Rattus norvegicus: one gene and its partners. The protein of the gene in region 3 purifies or fractionates together with the protein of the main gene of each other region. This does not show direct contact. Links are inferred from orthologs where the notes say so. Each region holds a gene or a part of one and is shown on either strand. Other genes may lie near its edges.

What was found.
Region 1: the proteins of Nfkbib (region 3) and Ikbkg purify together in Homo sapiens (affinity purification with western blotting; 5 studies listed by BioGRID and IntAct, with this or other methods). This does not show direct contact. The link is inferred for Rattus norvegicus from reciprocal best matches to the Homo sapiens genes NFKBIB and IKBKG.
Region 2: the proteins of Nfkbib (region 3) and Polr1e purify together in Homo sapiens (affinity purification with mass spectrometry; 3 studies listed by BioGRID and IntAct, counting the BioPlex papers as one, with this or other methods). This does not show direct contact. The link is inferred for Rattus norvegicus from reciprocal best matches to the Homo sapiens genes NFKBIB and POLR1E.
Region 4: the proteins of Nfkbib (region 3) and Rel purify together in Homo sapiens (affinity purification with mass spectrometry; 7 studies listed by BioGRID and IntAct, counting the BioPlex papers as one, with this or other methods). This does not show direct contact. The link is inferred for Rattus norvegicus from reciprocal best matches to the Homo sapiens genes NFKBIB and REL.
Region 5: the proteins of Nfkbib (region 3) and Nfkb1 purify together in Homo sapiens (affinity purification with mass spectrometry; 7 studies listed by BioGRID and IntAct, counting the BioPlex papers as one, with this or other methods). This does not show direct contact. The link is inferred for Rattus norvegicus from reciprocal best matches to the Homo sapiens genes NFKBIB and NFKB1.

Annotation. Positions count from the first base shown.
Region 1 is NC_086039.1:157,382,880-157,386,644, forward strand, and holds part of Ikbkg (NF-kappa-B essential modulator), read left to right. Parts: coding exon 1-2; intron 3-3,112; coding exon 3,113-3,256; intron 3,257-3,538; coding exon 3,539-3,681; intron 3,682-3,765. UniProt on the Homo sapiens protein: Regulatory subunit of the IKK core complex which phosphorylates inhibitors of NF-kappa-B thus leading to the dissociation of the inhibitor/NF-kappa-B complex and ultimately the degradation of the inhibitor.
Region 2 is NC_086023.1:64,085,118-64,088,520, reverse strand, and holds part of Polr1e (DNA-directed RNA polymerase I subunit RPA49), read right to left. Parts: coding exon 3,388-3,403; intron 2,428-3,387; coding exon 2,294-2,427; intron 1-2,293. UniProt on the Homo sapiens protein: Component of RNA polymerase I (Pol I), a DNA-dependent RNA polymerase which synthesizes ribosomal RNA precursors using the four ribonucleoside triphosphates as substrates.
Region 3 is NC_086019.1:93,178,432-93,182,795, reverse strand, and holds the start of Nfkbib (NF-kappa-B inhibitor beta), read left to right. Parts: upstream 1-1,408; 5' UTR 1,409-1,667; coding exon 1,668-1,846; intron 1,847-4,364. Other genes in the region: Sirt2 (NAD-dependent protein deacetylase sirtuin-2), read right to left, coding at 424-470, 1,224-1,239. UniProt on the Homo sapiens protein: Inhibits NF-kappa-B by complexing with and trapping it in the cytoplasm.
Region 4 is NC_086032.1:101,901,179-101,904,943, forward strand, and holds part of Rel (proto-oncogene c-Rel), read right to left. Parts: intron 1,568-3,765; coding exon 1,427-1,567; intron 1-1,426. UniProt on the Homo sapiens protein: Proto-oncogene that may play a role in differentiation and lymphopoiesis.
Region 5 is NC_086020.1:226,707,703-226,711,467, reverse strand, and holds part of Nfkb1 (nuclear factor NF-kappa-B p105 subunit), read left to right. Parts: intron 1-481; coding exon 482-571; intron 572-1,905; coding exon 1,906-2,094; intron 2,095-3,213; coding exon 3,214-3,355; intron 3,356-3,765.

The DNA.
Region 1 (3,765 bases), on a different chromosome or scaffold from region 3:
AGGTGAGTGGAGAACATAAGCTAGTAAGTATGTTTTTTCTGGGCTGTCCAGGGAGAGGTTTTCCCCTTCTTCCCCAGTGTACTTGAAAAGGGTGGGCAGTGTGAGTTTTGAGAAATAGCACATCTAGCTTTTGGAAGGGACTCTTAAGTTGCCTGACACTTCAGTGGGGCTATAGCTATGACAGTTTTCGGATAACCACAAGGAGATGGGACATATCCACCTTATAGATGTATAAGGTATCTGGGTCTAGGACCTTTAGATATAGTCTGTGGCAGGGATGTTGTTCTGCATGGCCATTCCTTCATGATCAGAGTTGGGAAGTCTACAAACATTTTGTTTTTTCTAAAAACATTTTTATATTTATTTATATTTATGTAAAAAATATTTTGCCTGCATATATGTATGTACACTATGTGTGTGCTTGATACATGTCGAAGATAGAAAAGAGTGATGGATCTGCTGGAACTGGAGTTATGAATGGTTCTGAGCTGCCTGTGACTGAATCTGGGTCTTCTCCAAGAACAAGTGTTCTTAACTTCCGAGCCATCCTTCCAGCTTCTTTTTTACCCCTCCCAGAAACTTTTCTTAGGTGATTCTGATCTCTTTTTGAGTTTATCCTCATCATGTCTAATGATTACTTTGTGTGTCTACTCACAAACATAGGTGGAGGTCAGAGGACATCATTGATGTTATTCCTCAGGAGCTATACATGACCAGCTCCTTTTCTTACATAGGTTCTGGGGTTTGAATTCAGGTCCTCACAACTACTTTACTAACTGAACTATCTCCCTAGCCTATTCTTTTTTGGTAGAGCCCAGGCATGTTTTGAACTCTGAGGTGGCTGAGACTGGCCTTGAACTACTGATCTTTTTACTTCCATCTTCCTTGTGCTGAAATTACAGGTATGTGCTACCATGACCAACATTCTAGTGGTCCCAGTTTTTCACAATAAAGTTTTTTTAGCTGTTCTCCTCTTTCTCATAAATAGAATGGATTGTCAATAATTCTTTACAACCCATTACTCATATAAAGAAACTTTAACAAGGTTGCCAAAAGCCCACATATTGGTGTTGGGCATAGTAGCACATGCCTTTAATCCTAGCACTCTGGAGTCAGAGGCAGGCTGATCTTGTTGAGTTAGAGGTCAGCCTGATTTACAGAGTGAGTTCTAGGACAGCCAGCTTTATGTAGTTTCAAAACCAAAACCCAAAAACCCCCAAACCAAACCAAAACAACTACTACAAAAAAAAAAACCCAAACCCAAAATACCCCACCATTGAATAAATAACTCCAGAGAGTAATGGGAAGCCAACTGATACTAACAGACTAGAGAATCTGATTTCTAAAGGCATTTCTGCCTTTCACTAAAATTTCTTAAAATTGTTTACCATAAAGAACTGTGCAGTTTTAGAATAGTGCTGCTACTCAAAGTGAAGTGTCCAAAGAGGGATTCATGAAAATGGGAATTTGTTTGTTTTTTAATTAATAAAATGAAGAGAACTAGAATAAAAGGCAGAAGAGCAAAATTAAACCCCATGATATGTGTGTTCATATGTGTGTGTATGTATGTATGTGTTTAACTGCAAAAAATAGTTCTCAAAGTTGCAGAGTTTAAACAAAATTTTATATTTTTATGTATTTATTTTATTATAGCAAAATAGGCAGTTATTTGGGGAAAAATAGTCATTAAAACTTGACCTCTCCCTAAACATATATTTAAAATTTTAGGCTAAAAACTGGATATTTCCATGCCATAATGATTACTACATTTCCATGTAAACATCATCTGCAGTTATGACTATGAATTTTTTTTTACTTCTGTATAAAAGGTGAGCTTCTCTAGCACCTAAATATGGCCTTAATTCAGAAAGTATCAGAAAGTATATGAATAACTTTTCTTTTTTATTTATTTTATTTATTATTATTTTTTATTAGATATATTTCTTTACTTACATTTCAAATGGTATTCCCTTTGCTGGTTTCCTGTCCATAAACCCCCATCCCCACCCCCTCCCACATATGGGTATGAACAACTTTTCAAAGACTATAAATAGTGTTATTCAAGTAGATTAAAAAATACTTGAACACTATTATTTCTAGCAAATACAATAAGGGAGGGCTTAAACAATCAAAACATGAAGACCTCTACCTATATAATATCCCTTATGAAATGAGCTAACTCATATTAATTTAAAAACCCATGTTTTCTTATTTGTCTAAAATTAAAATAATAATGGAAGTCAACTGAGAAAAGAGCTTAAAAGCTAACACAAATTATGCAATGTTAGTGGTCATCTTTTAAGAAGGAATTGTCAAGCAAAATGTACCCATAGGGGATTTTTAAGAAGTAAGCATGATACCAGGTCACATGATGAAGAATTAGTTATAAAACTGCTGCTTACGGGATTGGAAAGATTGTTCAATGATTAAGACCACTTGCTGTTTTTTTCAGAGGACCTAAGTTCTGTTCTCAGTATTCACAATGGGTGGCTAACAACTACTTGCTACTCTAGCTTTGGCAGATCTGATAGCATCTTTGACTTCTGTGGGTGTACACACACACACACACACACACACACACACACACACACCCCTTTTGGAAGGAATTCTTGGTTGAGAGCATGAGTGCATGTGTATAAGGTGTGTTTGACCAAGTAGCAGAGTGGAAGGACCCATGGGTTGCCCCCTTGCCTGATGTATGGTGGACCTGCAGTCTATGGAGAGTTACTGCATAGTTACTTACTTGCTGTGGAGTTGGAAGCCTCAGGAGCGAGGGTAGCTCTTGTTCTTGAAGAGTCAAGAGGAAGGTTGACTAGCTAGGAATTCTCTGACAGGAATGATGCAGAGTACCAGGCAGTATCTTATTTATTCTCAGAGTTCCCATCAGTTCTAAGATCTTTGTGCATCCTAAGAAAGACCTCAGCATTTCTTCTGTAGGGCCACCACAGGATGCAGTATTCTCCCTGCCCGAATTGTCATTGGCCCTGAAATCCAAATGACTGGGTTTGCTCCAGCTTTTCCTACTTAGTTTTCAAAACAATGGCCAGCCAGGGAAGTAACTTGGTTCCACTGTGGGCCAAGAGACTCTGCCAGCACCCTTTGTCTTCTCTAGGGCATGCAGCTGGAAGATCTGAGGCAGCAGCTCCAGCAAGCTGAGGAGGCCCTGGTAGCCAAACAGGAATTGATTGATAAGCTGAAAGAGGAAGCTGAGCAGCACAAGATTGTCATGGAGACCGTTCCAGTCTTGAAAGCCCAGGTGAGGGCTCTGTTCCAGCCTGCCTATCACATGAGTGACCTGCTCGTCCAGGCAATGAGTTTTGATGTGTCTTTTGGACACCATTTGTAGTGGCCTCTCTTAGTCTTGAGCCCTTTGCATTGTTCTTGACTTGGTGCTATTGGGATCATAGGCTTTCACGTGTGCTTCTGATGTACTATCATGGGATCCCAGAAGACAGGACTCTGTTCCTCTGGACATGGCATAGAATGCTTGTTGGGAAGCTGATGGATGGTGGGTGAACACCTCTGTTCTGTTTGCCAGGCGGACATCTACAAGGCTGACTTCCAAGCTGAGAGGCATGCCCGGGAGAAACTGGTGGAGAGGAAGGAGCTTTTGCAGGAGCAGTTGGAGCAGCTGCAGCGCGAGTTCAACAAGTTGAAAGTTGGCTGCCATGAGTCAGCCAGGTGGGCCTCTAAGAGTGCAGCCAGGAGCACAGCCATAGACAAAGGAGGTGTACTCTAGGCAGCAACCAGTAGTAACTATAGGAG
Region 2 (3,403 bases), on a different chromosome or scaffold from region 3:
TGCTGGGTGAAGGGGAAAAGGTGGGATTTCCAGGTTGGATGGCGGGGGTAGAGGAAGAAAAGGGATGCAGGGAGAGGGGAGCTCTCTTCAGACCAGGTTTTAGAATGAGAGGACAAGACAACCATGTAAGGTCTTAGGGCAACTAGAGCGGGTGAATTTCTGATATAGGATAGCTGTAAGCTTAGGGTAATAAATTCTATACCCAGAAATTGTGTTATCTGGCAAGTTTTAAAATATTAAAACTGTCTTAAAGCGTTTCTCATCCTCGGGCAAAGGCAGAGTAGTGGCTGGTGACTTGGCGAAGCTAGCTGGGAGGGGTAGGGGACCCAGGGAAGGGCAGGGGACCCATCCCAGTCAGGACACCAGCTGGCTGTTGGCAGAGCTAAGCAGAGAATGTGGCCGGAGCAAAGGAGCCATTGTGTTTTTAAAGTTGCACGGTAGGTATGAGTGTGTGGCCACCACATACGCTCCTGGAAACAGGTGGAACTGTGAGTTTTTTTTCAAGCCAGGGTTTCTCTGTGTGGCTGTCCTGGAACTCACCCTGTAGACCAGGCTGGCCTCAAGCTCAGGGATCTGCTTGTCTCTGCTTCTCAAGTGACTGGATTAAAGGCCTGTGCTACCACCGCATGGAGGAACTGGAATTTCTAACTTTACAAACTGACTTTCTCAGTCTGAAATAAAGTGTTATAACACTACCACCAAAACAGGGAAGGAAGGAAGGGAGGAAGGAAGGAAGGAAGAGAGGAAGGAAGGAGGGGAGGGAGGAAGGGAGGAAGGAAGGGAGGGAGGAAGGAAGGAAGGAAGGGAGGGAGGGAGGAAGGGAGGAAGGGAGGAAGGAAGGGAGGAAGGAAGGAAGGAGGGGAGGGAAGAAGGAAGGGAGGAAGGAAGGAGGGGAGGAAGGGAGGAAGGAAGGAAGGGAGGAAGGAAGGGAGGGAGGAAGGTAGGAAGGAAGGGAGGAAGGAAGGAAGGGAGGGAGGAAGGAGGGGAGGGAGGAAGGGAGGAAGGAAGGGAGGAAGGAAGGAAGGGAGGGAGGAAGGGAGGGAGGGAGGAAGGGAGGGAGGAAGGAAGGGAGGAAGGGAGGGAGGAAGGGAGGAAGGGAGGAAGGAAGGGAGGAAGGGAGGAAGGAAGGGAGGGAGGAAGGGAGGAAGGGCGGAAGGGAGGGAGGGAGGAAGGGAGGAAGGAAGGAAATGTAGTTTGATGTCAAGGTAATACATGATTGGACAATAGAGAGTGGAGCAGGGACAATGTTTTTGTAAGTCGGGAGAGAGGAGGAAGGGGGATCGAGATGGAGTCTTCGGAGGAGGATGGTTCAGATTTAGGTGAATTAGATTGACTTTATCTTGTCTAGGTGGGTGGTTTATATCTTTATCAATTGGCAGTGAATTTTCTGTGTGGATGAATTGTGGATTGAGAATTTAACGTGTAAATCTAATTGCTAAATTACAAGTTTCTGGAACTTTTGATTTTACTGGGCTAAAGAGGACAGTGTGTGAAAGAAACGGCTGAGAGGCAGTTGGAGTGTGTGGATCTGGTTCTGTTGCCCTCAAGGAGCGAGAACCCGCAGGGCCAGCAGATATGTGTGTGTCAGAGTGGTAACTAGCACCTAGGGGACCTCGTGGAGAGGGCGGCTAAAAGGAGACAGCCGGGAGAGGGCGGCCTGCAGACCTCATAGCAGAGTAGCAGCTGGAGCGAGTGGGTCCGGCTTGCGGGAGCAGATAGAAAATGTTCCTTTTTAAATTTTACCACAACAATGAGAGAGAGGGAGGGAGGGAGGGGGAGAGAGAGAGACAGAGACAGAGAGAGAGAGAGAGACAGAGAGACAAGCCAAGTTCGATGGGGCACTCTGGAGGCAGAGCAAATGACTCTGTGAGTTCAAGGCCAGCCTGGTCTGTACAGAGAGTTCCAGTCCAGCCAGGAATATACAGTGGGACTGTGCTGTCCTACAACACCAAAGCAGCCTGAAGGTGCAAATCGAAGCTCTGACTACTCTGTCACTGCTGTCTGTCCTGACGCACTCCCTCTTTGTTCCATTTGACCTGGATACAGTGTTTTCCTAACAAAACAAAAGCAGTGAATGTGCTCCCTGGAAGCCCCATCCACCCTGTCCCCATTTCCAGAACAGAACAAAGAAATTCAGAGAGGAGAGGCCTGTGCGGCTCAGGCAGGCAGCGGGAGCAGGAGGAAGGGCAAGGTGCACAGAGGCCCTGGACAGACATCGATGGAGGTGATGTCAGAACCACAGACAAGCCAGCAGCTGGAAAGAGCTGGGATAAGAGAATGCTGTGGGCCTTACTTTTCCCTTTTATCACTTTCTGAGCTCGGAATCTGAGGAGGGCATCTAGGAACCAAATGCTCCGGGCTTGCCGGTTTCGCTGCACCTCGTCTGCTGGCAAAGACTTCAGCATTTCTATGATGAAGGAGCAGTGGCTAAAACAAGAAAGGGTCACAGCAGCACATGAGGGGAAGCAGGCTCTCAGGAGCCACACCCCCTCCCCAGCACACCGTCCATACACCCAGAGCAAGACGGCTAAGGAGGCCCGCCCTTCAGGGTGCACCAGGTTTGACTGACAGACTCCATCGCACTGAATAAGGTAGACAGCAATAGTGGATGACTCCTATAATCAAACTCCACGTGCACCCACACGCAAACACATACACCACGCACACACAAACACATAGGCATTCATACACACTCAGACACACACACGCACAATCAAATTTTTAAAGAGTAGGGGAGAGATGGCTTACTAGAGTATTGCTGCTCTTGCAGAGAACTCCAGTTTGTTTTCTACCACTCCCCTGGGCCATTCCCAACAGCCTGTAACTACAGATCTAGAGGATCCCATGACACCCATGTCATAGGCACACATACACACATACAAAATCTTAGAAAAGAAAGGAATAGTTAGAAGAAAAGGCTCAGAACTAAGAAATAATCTGACTATCATTTAAAAAAAAGTTGTTTTAATGGCAAAAGAGAAGAGGGATGGATAATCTCTGTTATTTAAAATAAATAATGTTTAGAATCCGTATTTAATTTTAGTTAAGTCTGTCAGCATGCTGTCACAGAGAAGCCTTGCTTTGGGCTCCCAAGCTGGCCTTTGGGCACTGACAGTGACACTCTGCTTCAACAAACAGTAGAGGCGGGGCAAGCTTTGGTCCCCGGCCCCAGACTACAGCACCTTACTATCATCTCCCAGCTACAGGCTCTACACACATGACCACTCCTCTTCCTTGAATCCACCCACAGCTCCTGGAAGCCTAGCATCGAAGCTTGCTCCTTCCTTCATTCCAGGCTGCGCAGACGCCACCCATGCTTCACGGGGCTGCTTTCTATCTGACTGGTTTTTCCCATGACTCACTGAAACCCCATCTACCCACGAGTACCTGTTCTCTTCCACCA
Region 3 (4,364 bases):
ACACTGCCCCCAGCTGTGCTGGGATTACAGGTAGCTGACACCACAGCCAGCTTCAGTACTTTTATGAGCCCTAGAGGGTCCTTTCCCCAACCCCATACTCCCTGAGTTTGGGGATCAAACTGGAACACTGTCTTTTCCAGGTCTAGCACAAATGAGGTTCAGAAGGGATTGAGGATAGGCGGGGCAACAATAGGAGATGAGGACAATATGGAAGGGAACCAGGGGTTGAGGCTATACATTTTCCTTGACAGTCCCCAGAAGCCGCCATTCTCCCAGGAGCTGTACTAATCCCCAGATGGGTTTAGGGATCAGGGCCATAAGCCAAGGGCCCTTGGGTAAAAGCCTTCCCTTGCACCTCCCCCAGTGCGGCATGTGGAACCACGTCCATTTCTCTCCTTCCCTCCACCCTTTTCCCCATCTCACCTGAGCCTCCTGCACCTTCCCTGCCTGGTTCTCCAGAGGGTCAGAGGCTGGGGAGGAGGGGGAGCAGACGTGGTTACAGTGGGGGGAAATAGTTAAGCAGATGAAGGGTTCACAGTGGTGGAGGCGACAATAGGACCCACCAACCTAATTATCCTGGAGTCATGGATGGTAGTAAAACTATTGGAGATGGGGAAAGGCATGTTTTAGAGTGGAGGAATGTGTGAGGAGGGGAAGGTTTGGGAGGAAAAAGCAGGTGAAACGGGACTGAAGGAAGGTTTCAGAGTTAAGCAGGATAAGGTAGCGAGTGCGAGCCAGGAGAATGAGGGAGGGCTAAGTTTTTCAAGAGATGTTAAGTAGGGATACTTCTGCTGAGAGTTGAGTGTGGGAGAGGAGATGCAGTGAAGGTGGGAGGTTTAGGAGAGGCACAAGAACTGAAGGAATGAGATAGAAAGGGGCCGCAGGGGTCCCCAAACATACTATAGTTGCCCTTAACAACAGGCAACCTTAGCAACCGGGATCGTGGTAACTTTGGTCCTTAGCAACGAGGGTCCTCAGCAACCAAAGTGCGAGAAACGCGATCATTCAAAACTTTGCAAATGGACCCTTAAATTTCACAATCCAGAAACCCACCAACCTAGCAATATCGACCACTTAGCAACAGCCCTCCGAATCCCACTCCCTTCAGGCAGCCTCTGTCTCCCACCCCACCGACCTGCCCGCGGGCCCCGGGGCCTGCAGCCCAAAGCCAGGCCCCGGCGCGGCCCGACCCTCCCACCCTCCCACCAGGGCCCCTAACTCACGGTCCGGCTCGGCCATGGGAACGGGGTGGGGGCTCTCGGGACTGTCACCGACTGCTCTGTCCCGTGACGGCAGCGGAAACAAGAAGGAGCCGAGAGAGGATAGAAAAATACAACTCCCGACAGGCAACGCGGTCCCGTAACCGCTTTCATACGGTGCTCCCCTCACGTTATCAAACTACAAATCCCAAAAGGCTTGGCGCCGGCGGCCATATTAATAAAGGGCGTCTGGAAAATCTGGGGAAACTCAGCGAGCGAATGTCCATCTCATTATTCTGATTGGTTCTGGTGCAGTACAGAGGCGGGGTGTGGCTATTTAACACAGTTTGATTGGGTATATGAGGGGGCGTGTTGGGGAATTCCCAATAGGGCGGAAGCGCTGGAGCTCTCGGCAGAACCCAGCGTCAGGCAGGCGACCGCAGGGGGCCACCCGAGGTGGCAGGGGCAATGGCCGGGGTCGCGTGCTTGGGGAAAACTGCAGACGCCGATGAATGGTGCGACAGTGGCCTGGGCTCTCTAGGTCCCGACGCAGCAGCTCCCGGAGGACCAGGTCTGGTCGCAGAGCTTAGCCCAGAGCTGTCTTGGGCGCCCTTAGTCTTTGGCTACGTCACTGAGGATGGGGACACGTGAGTAAACCTTAAATTACCAATTTACCCTAGGGATCTTACCTGAGTCTCCATTAGCCTATGATTTCTGTGGCTTCTTATCTTCTCGTTCCTAACTCTGATTTCTGATGCTGGACTTCCTGACCCATAACCACCAATCACTAAATTGTGAGACTAGTCCGTTTTCACTCACAGTCAAGTGTCTCAACTTTTCTGAACTCTTAAATTTGAGCTTACGATCCCCAAATCGGGTCTGAACCTTTCTGACCACTCTAGTTCCCACATCTTCTGACCTCTTGCTTCCAGATGTGGTCTTTGGTCTTTGGCTATTCTTGTATAAGCCAGATTTTGATTTCCAAAATTAATTCTTGACCCTGAGTCTACGACGCTGACACATCCAGCACTGACCCTGCAATTGAGAAACCGAGCTACTGGGTGTCATGGGCCTCACAGAAGTTGGGAGGCAAAGGCAGGTTGATCTCTGTGAGTTTGGGGCCACCTGATTGAGATGCCGGCCAGCCAGAGCTACATAAAATTTAGAAGCTCGATTCTATGAAGATGGATTCATCTGTTAGCCAAACGTCTCTCCCTAACTACCACCTTTCAATCCCTGGTTTTAGTTTAGCTGAATGTGGTGGTACACACTTGTCATCCCAGCTCTTAAGGGGCTGAGGCAGGAGGATTGCTAGTCTGAGGAGAGCCTGGGAAGACCGGTATCAAAAAGGAGGGATAAGGAAAAGGAGGAGAGGGAGCCTGGGGGGGGGGTGTGGAGCAGGAAATGTTGATTAGTAGATAAACTGGGGAGAAGGGATGGCTGTGGTGACAGTGTGTGTAAGGGAGTGTACCCGGGATTTTCTTGTCCTTTGTGCTCATTGCGTATACCCAGTGACTCAGTGCCTGACCCATGAGGGGAACCCAATAAACACTCATCTTAAAGAGCCAGGAGTAGTTTCCTTAATTTTCTAATTTTTCACTTTCTACTTTATTGGCCCTTGTTCCTTTATTGTTTCCCTCTGGTTATTTAATTTTTGTAATTTCTTTATCCTTTTTTTTTTTTTTTTTGTTCTTTTTTTCGGAGCTGGGGACCGAACCCAGGGCCTTGCGCTTCCTAGGCAAGCGCTCTACCACTGAGCTAAATCCCCAACCCCCCTCTTTTTTTTTTTTTTTTTGTTTTGTTTTGTTTTGTTTTGCTTGTTTGTTTTTGACAGTCTTGTGTAGCCCATGCTAGCCTTCAGGTTGTAGCTGAGGATGGCTTTGAACTTTTCATTCTCCTGTGTCCACCTCCCAAGTGTGTATCACTACATCCAGCTCAGGGATGTGCGTGTGTGTGTGTGTGTGTGTGTGTGTGTGTGTGTGTGTGTGTGTGTTCGCACTAACCACATAGGCTAGACTAGCTGGCCTGAGAGAACCTTGTCTCTTGCTCCCCACCCTCCTCCTCCTCTTTGAGACAGGGTGGCTGACCTGGAACTCACTATGTAGACCAGACTGGCCTCAAACTCATAAAGATCCATCTGCCTCTATGTCCTGAGTGCTGGGACCAAAGGTGTGCGCCTCTGTGCTCTACTCCAGGGATCTCCTAGTGTTAGGATTATAAATACTTACAACCACACCCAGCTTTTTTTTATGTGGGTTCTGAACTAAGGTCACTGTGCTTTACTTACAAAATAGTTCCCCAGCCACCCACTCCACCCCCTTTTTCGTCAGTGTCTTACTATGTAGCCCAGGCTAGCCTTGAACACTACTGTAAAAAATAATAAAAATAATTGATTCAGCCATTTAGCTCCCAACAAGGACTCTGGCACTAATTATTCATTAATAAATGCCTTGGCTACAAGCTTTGGCTCATTCCCTGGCTAACTTATAACCTATTTAACGCATTCAAACTATCCTATGTCTTCCACGTGGTTACCTTTCCTGCAGTCTCCAGCCTGCCTCTTCCTTAGCGTCGTCTTTCTCAGTGTCTCAGTGACCCCTCCAGTGCCTCTCCCTGCATCTCCCTTTTTTCCTCACCATTTCCCAGAATTCTCTCTCTCTTCCTGGCAGTGTCCCACCTGTTTCCTCCCTCAGCTCATTGGCCATAGGCTTTTTTTTATCGACAGGTGTTGCCTTTAAGAAATTCTGTCCACACTATGAAACTTGTCTTTGGTTTATTTTATTTTATTTGTTTTTTGTTGTTGTTGTTTTTTGTTTTTGTTTTTGTTTTGAGATAGGGTTTCTCTGTGTAGCCCAGACTGTCCCAGAACTCTTTCTGCAGACCAAACTGGCCTTGAACTCAGAGATACATTTGCCATTACCTTCCAAATAATTTACTTTATGCGTATGACTGTTTTACCTGTGTACATGTATGTGGACTGTGTTTGTGCTTGTTGGAGCCCCTGGAACTGGAGGTAGGGATGGCTGTGAGCCACAATGTAGGTGCTGGAAATCAAGTCTGGGTCCTCTGCAAGAGCAACAAGTGGTTTTTTTGTTTTTAAAGGTTTATTTATTTATTATATATAAGTACACTGTAGCTGTCTTCAGACACACCAGAAGAGGGCAT
Region 4 (3,765 bases), on a different chromosome or scaffold from region 3:
GGAGGGAGGGAGGAAGGGAGGAAGGGAGGAGGAGGTAAGGAAGGAAGGGAGGGAGGAGGAAGTAAGGAAGGAAGGAAGGAAGGGAGGGAGGGAGGAAGGGAGGAGGAAGGAAGGAAGGAAGGAAGGGAGGGAGGGAGGAAGGGAGGAAGGAAGGAAGGAAGGAAGGAAGGAAGGAAGGGAGGAGGAAGGAAGGGAGGGAGGGAGGAGGAAGGAAGGAAGGGAGGAGGAAGGAAGGGAGGGAGGGAGGAAGGAAGGGAGGGAGGGAGGAAGGAAGGGAGGAAGGGAGGAAGGAAGGGAGGGAGGGAGGAAGGAAGGGAGGAAGGGAGGGAAGAGGAAGGAAGGAAGGGAGGGAGGAGGAGGTAAGGGAGGAAGGGAGGAGGAGGTAAGGAAGGGAGGGAGGAAGGGAGGGAGGGAGGAGGAAGGGAGGGAGGGAGGAGGAAGGAAGGAAGGAAGGGAGGGAGGGAGGAGGAAGGAAGGGAGGAAGGGAGGGAGGAGGAAGGAAGGATGGATGGATGAAAGAAAATATGTAGCTACTGGAAACCTAAGTGGGGCTTGGGGTATAGCTGTGTACGACGACCTGGTTCAATTGCTGGCAGTGTTTAAAAGGAAAAAAGAAAAGAAAAAGAAAAATGTGATTGAAAAAGGTTCAAGATACATTGTGAGAGAAAAATTGGGGAATCATGTAACACAGTATCGTCTTGAACTCCTATTTTTAAACACAGCCAAGGAAAACTTAACTCCTGATCTGCCTGCCTCGACTTCCCAAGTGCCATGATTATAGGCATGCACTACCACGAAGGATTGAAAAAAGGTTTTTTAAAAGATCACTGATCCTTTTTTTTAAGTTGCCAAACACAGTGGGTGAATGAGAGTGCTGAGAAGGATGGTGTCTGTGTTTGTTCAAAGGGACTGCAATGTGTGTTTGAGGACAGTGGCCATTTTGGAGGGGACTAACAGTCATTTGCTATTCTTCCTATATATGTGTATATACTTGAGGAATTTTTTTCTGTAATGGACACTGCTTTATTTATTTGTTTGTTTGTTTTGAGACAGGATCTCTTTAATAAGATTTAATAATAATCTTATAATTTTAATAATAATCTAATAAGATTTAATCCTGGAAATCACAGTGTAGACCAGGATGGCCTTGAACCCACAGAGATCTGTGTCTGAGTGCTGGGATTAAAGACATGCACCACCACTGGCTTCTTTTTGTTTCTTGAGATGAGGTCTCAACGTACATCCCATAATGCCTTCAAACTTTACCTCTGACTCAGACTTCTGGTTGCTAGAATTATATGTGCAAACCACTAATCCCACCTAATGTACTCCTTTTCAAGTTATGAAAATCCTTTAGACCTTTCAGCAGTCAAGGAAACAAGACAAGCTAAGAGTACAGACATAAGAAAAAAATCAAAGCACTTACGGTTGTCGTAAATCGGGTTGGAAACAATGGGAGGCAGCGCGGTTGTGAAGTTACCATGTTCATCAGGAAGGAAAACTTGGAAGCACAGCCTCACCACATTGAGGTCGCAGTCTTCAATGTCCAGCAGCTGCTGTTCAGGGACTGAATGGTACAATCTCAGGCTTAGAGCGGAGAACACATAACACTAATACTTACATAAGACCAAAATCCTGCTGTCTTTCTCTCTCCCCAACACCCAATAAGCTCAGTCTGCACCTCTGTCTGCAGAGAACTAGGATGGTGTACCGTCTCAAGATTAGCTTTCCTTACAGCTCATTGTGCACTCACTATTTAACCGCCTATGGTAAATTGTAGCCATGCTCAGGGAGAGACCACACCAGAGACCAGAGACTTAAGGTCAGAACCATAAACTGACCACCATAAAGCAAAAATCTTAAATGTGGACACAATTCATAGGTGGTGGCAAATAGGCACTCTTCATTTAACACAGTACTTCGCCCAGTCTGTAATTATCTTCTAATCTAGCAGAAACCGTCATCGTCCGTGTTCTTATAGGTGAGACACGGATTTTAAGGAGATGACGTTATTTGTCCCAAATTTTACAGCTAAATAATAGTGTGGGAATTTGAACCAGAGGGGCCATATTAACTATGCCCCGGCATTTTAGAGATGCAACGAGAAAAAGATACCGGTGATCTAACTTAATGTGTAAATCAAGTCAGCTTAAAAACGAACTGCACATCGGGGCACTTTTACGGTCCTGAAAAAATATAAAACCTTGCCACAGAATATTGCAGGTGAATAGCCTCTTTGCACTGATATTTGAAAAGAAGTCCATTTCTAAAACAAAATATTGCTGCCTTTTGAAATATTCTAGGCCTGTAGCAATACATTATTACTAATATATGTCATATTTTAAAAGCACGAAATTCATTAAATTACATGAAAAATTTACTTGGAAGGGATGCAGCTATCAAAATTAAAAGATTAAATTTGAAAAATAACTAGCTAAATTCCCCAGTCTTACAGGTGATGAGTAATTTAAAAAAAAAAAAAGTATCTCACACAATGTCAGTCAAACAGTCTCAGGAGTTATCCTAACACTGAGATTTCTTCCAGTGTCAGTGTTCTTAGGCCTAACATTTGGGTCTATGAAAACATACCCGTACAACTAGAAAGGTCAAAATGGGGCTGAGAGAAATAATTCAGTGGATAAAGTAATTTCCTTGTAAGTACAAGCTCAGCCCTCCAAATCCATGCGATAAAGCCAGGTGCAGTAGTAAGGCTCCTGGGTAATAATTCCAGGCTGGGAAGGCAGAAGCAGGACTATTGGTCAAGCTCTAGGCTAGTGAGAAACACAGACAGGCAGACAGGCAGACAGGCAGACAGACAGACAGACAAAATCAATGAATGGCTAGGTGCTCCTGAGTTTACAAATAAATTTATGTTAATAGAGACAAACTGTGTATAGTCATAGAATGGACTAACACCCAGCAGTAAAGAACAAACTGTGGCTATACACTCCAACAATACACACTGCAAAAACAGTAAGACCAAATGGACCCAGACAGGGAAACATATAGACTAGAAAAGAATATACTTCCAACTCTATAAAACCCTAGAAAAGTTAGGTGTGCTGGCGGAAAGGAATGGAGCTGTTGACTGGGGCAGGACATGAAGGAGAGAGCTGACTAAGAAAGATCAAAGCCATTTTGTGGGTGGGGAAATGTTTCTTTGCCTTGAGGTTACATGAGAGGCTGTATCTGGGTGCAGGTATTTGCCAATGAGAGTTTAAAGAATTAAAGTGATATATAAACGAAAAATAAAATGGCTAATAACCTAAAATATAAATATAGTTAGCCACACAATGATTCTATCAAAGGCAAGAAATTCTATTTTCACAAAGGATTATCATTTGGGGAATTTTGTTTTGCTCTTTCTCTATGTAGAGAGACCGTTTCACTGCATCAGTATCATTCCCGTCTCTGTACAACATGGTTAAAAATCACTGATGACCAGGGACCACAGGCGAGCCCTGGACTCAGTACAGGGTGAAAGCTCGACTGAGAACTGCCTGGTCTGTGCACACGCATGTACAGATAAGTCATGTGGAGGGCAGAGATCAGGACGACCGCCCTCCACTGTATTTTGAGACAGGGTCAATCGCTGAACGTTGACAGCCCCAGAAATCCACCGGGAGCCACCTCCCTTGTGTTGGGAATGCCTAGCTCTTTCCAAATGGATGCTAGAATTGAACTCAGGTCTCACGCTTATGTCACAGGCTCTGTACTTACTTAGTCATACTCCCTACCCTGAGCTAATTTTCTACAAAGTCTGAG
Region 5 (3,765 bases), on a different chromosome or scaffold from region 3:
GCATGGCTTTCCTTTATTCCAGATAACATGTAAACGCTTCAAACTGTATGTCAGAGAGTGTGGTGTTAAGTGCTGGCTGGTCCTCCAGAGAAATTTATCATTCATCTTTCCACTGAAAATGAACGTGCTGACCATTTTTTCCACTAAAGTATCAGTATATTACTGTACTGGGTTTTCCTCACCAGGGGTCATCCTATGTTACTGTAGGTCTGAATCTTGGTGTGATGGCTTACCATCAGCTTTTCCCTTCTCTGGCAGGAGAGGGCCTGCTCCGCATTAAAGTCATCCAGGCTGCCAGTCTGGGCACTGCCTGGGTTGCCACAGTGAAACTGAACTGTCCGTTTCCCACAGTGTACCCTGCTAACTCTGGCGGAGCCTGTGTAGGCCAGCGCCTCCCCACACCAAGGCCTGCCTCCCCTGAGTGGGTCACCATAGTGTTAAAAATCTCCCTGATGTTCCCTTTGTCTCATTGCTGGTTCAGGGTATGGCTTCCCGCACTATGGATTTCCTGCTTACGGTGGGATTGCATTCCATCCCGGAGCCACTAAATCCAACACAGGCATCACCCATGGTAAGTCAGAGCTGAGTACCAAGAACACTGCGTGGGCATCAGGATGGTCCTTAAAAGCTTGAGGAAATAACTTTCCAGTAAATCCGTACTTGACGTTATTCTAGGACAGCATAAGGAACACTCCTGACACATATCTGCTCATCACACTGTATTTATGGAAGCAGAACAGAGGCTTTAGACAGAAGATACAGACTTGGCTATGCAAACGTGGAAATGCCACCTTCATGCCTGTCCCTTCACCTCACATCCCACCCTCTTGAAATCAGTTTTTGTTGTGTGGAGTCGGGCTGTTTCCACTCTCAGGCATCCTCTGAGTAGCTGTGGTTACAGGCTGCTCATGGCTTCTATAAACCATTCTTTGGTACCATGGAAATCATTCTATAAAGTCTCTTCATACATAGCGCCTATTCATGCCAGATGCACACATCACTGTAATCTTTTTTTAAAGATCTTAACTGACATTATAGTTTTATCCTATAATCAGGTCACCATTCGTCCCATAAAACAGAATTCCCATTACCCACAACCTCATGACCCCTGTGCATGGCGAACACTAAGCCCAGCCCCTTCTCGACAGAGGTGAGCTTCAGAAACTCTCGGAAGACACAGCAGCAGGATCAGGTTCTGTACCAGGTCTGCCCGGGAGTCTGACCTGTCGCACTGTCACATAACATGGTTCCGACAGCAACCATATTCAGACATGGCACACAAGAAGGGGCCACACGGAAGGGGAATGAGCTCTGCACAGCTCCCTTCCCTCGTTACTCAGCGTTAGGAAAGAAAATAACCTTACACTCCAACCGGCTCTCAGCGTGCAGAACTTTCTCTCACGTTTCTTCTTCACAGGTAACCGAACTGAGATTCATTTCTTGTTTCTCTCTGGTTTTGTTTGAGAGAGAATGTCACTGTGTGACCTTGACCTTGTGGGACATTTTGGGTGGGACTCGCCAAATCTGGCTTCAGAAATAAGATGTGAGTGTTGGAAAGACAAGCTTTTGAATTGTTTCTGAATGTTTGAACTATGTCTGAAACAGCCCAGGTGTTACGGCGCACATCTTTGCACTTGGCAGGCAGAGCCAGGCCAACTGCTTGTGAGTTCAAGGCCAGCCAAAGCTACACAGCAAAGCCCTGTCTGAAAGAGTAAAGAAATAAGGAAATATAAGATATGTCCAGAACACGTTATTTATGTTATAAATATTTATAGTTTTCCATTTTCAGCCAACATCCCTCCTTCCTGTTTTCCTTCCTTCTGCCCTGTGTCAAGACAGTGAGTTATAGCTCAATTAAAAGATTTTTACTAAGAAAAACACTGATGTTTTTGCACTTTTTCCTAGGCACCATAAACACCAAATTTAAAAACGAGCCTAGAGATTGTGCCAAGAGTGACGACAGGGAGATTCTGAATCCCCCTGAGAAAGAAACACAAGGTGAGGGGCCCAGCCTGTTCATGGCCAGCACCAAGACCGAAGCAATTGCCCCGGCATCCACCATGGAAGACAAGGAAGAGGATGTGGGGTTTCAGGGTAGGTGAACGTGCCCACGAGGGTTTCCAGGGACAGCTGGGGAGGGTGCAATTCTAGGTACAGGAAGCTGTCTCCAGAAGACAGGTTTCCTTCCTGCTGATCTAAAGCTGATGGGTCAGCATCTCGTTTGAGTGCTCTGTGCGGTGCCCTGGGCCTTGCAAGAGAGGCGTCTTGTAGAACCATTCACCTTTGCAGCATCAGATCTGACTATAAAATGCAGAAACTTGCACGTACATTGTCCAGTCATATGCAGTTCTGGGTATGAGAAGAGGCAACTCACGTTGTCCCTGGCCCAGGTCACAAGGAAGTTTCCATGTCCTTCACGTGCCTCCCAGCAGCCAGCTCAGCTGCCTCCTTGAAGATGTTTGCCCGAAAATGGGACTTTTCCTTCTTTTCTTTTGCCCTCCTTGAAGAAGCAGAATGAAAAGGAAATGCTTCCTGAGAGCAGGTCTCATTAGCATATGAGTCATAATTCTAGGTCAGAAGCGGTCTGTGAAGAGATAGTAACTATTTAGACATGGTGACCATACATAGTAACTGTTTAGACATGGATGGTGACCATACATGGTTACTGTCTTGCACTGTCCTTTTATTCTGTTTCTTAAATACCTCCCTTGACATGCACAGTATATGTCTACCAAGCCATATCAAAACAGGCTAGATCGTCCATTTGTGCTGAGGTCCCAGTTTGCCATCCCTTGACCTTAAGGCAATAAATTTTCCAAAAATGCTAGGGCTTTCTTTCTGAGTCTGCCTGGGACTGGAAGGGCATGTTCCTTCACTTTAGCTCAGACTGGATTCCAGAAGAGAATTTGTTTACAAAAATGATTGTTTATTCAAAATTATGCCAAAGTCCGAGTACCCTGAGATTGGTTGCTCCCCTTAAATCACTGACGCTGATTGTTCTTCTTAAAATAGCAGTTATATCTAGGTGGCTCCTCTCGGCCCACAGACACTTTAAAATCAAACTCTTAACTGTATCGTCTGTCAGTGAGACAATGCCCAACTGTGCCTTTCTCTAGTCAACACAACCCAGAAGCGCCAAAAGGAGCTTTTTTCAGCTACACACGTAGGGCGAGCAAGTGAGACTTAGCTGTGGTTGTGGACATTGCCTTGCAGATAACCTCTTTCTTGAGAAGGCGCTGCAGCTCGCCAAGCGGCATGCCAACGCCCTCTTCGACTACGCGGTTACGGGAGATGTGAAGATGCTGCTGGCGGTACAGCGCCATCTCACCGCGGTGCAGGATGAGAACGGGGACAGGTGAGTGGAGTGGGGACGGCTGCACAGCAAATGCTGTCTCACACAGCAAATGATAGGGATAAGCAAGGATGCTGCTGGTGCAAGCCGCCTACAGAGGGAACACTCTGGGGCTGTAGTCAAAACAGAGCTCTGCCCTCATCAGACAAGGCCTCCAGTGTGCTGCCTCCCTGGGCGAGAAGACTCAAGTGTGTGAGCATGTTAATTTTAAACCCTTGCCTTGTGTGTAAAATAATGTTGAGAAAACTATTGACAGTCCCATCAAGTCCCTGAAGCGTTATTGTCACAGTGTACCCAAGGGAGAGCCTGGTAAAGACATTAGTACAGTAACTAAGAGGCAATGCCTTTCTTCCCTAGCTCCTGGCTGCTTCTCTGTGGTCTCTAGTGTGTGAGAGGACCAGACTCTGCCTCAG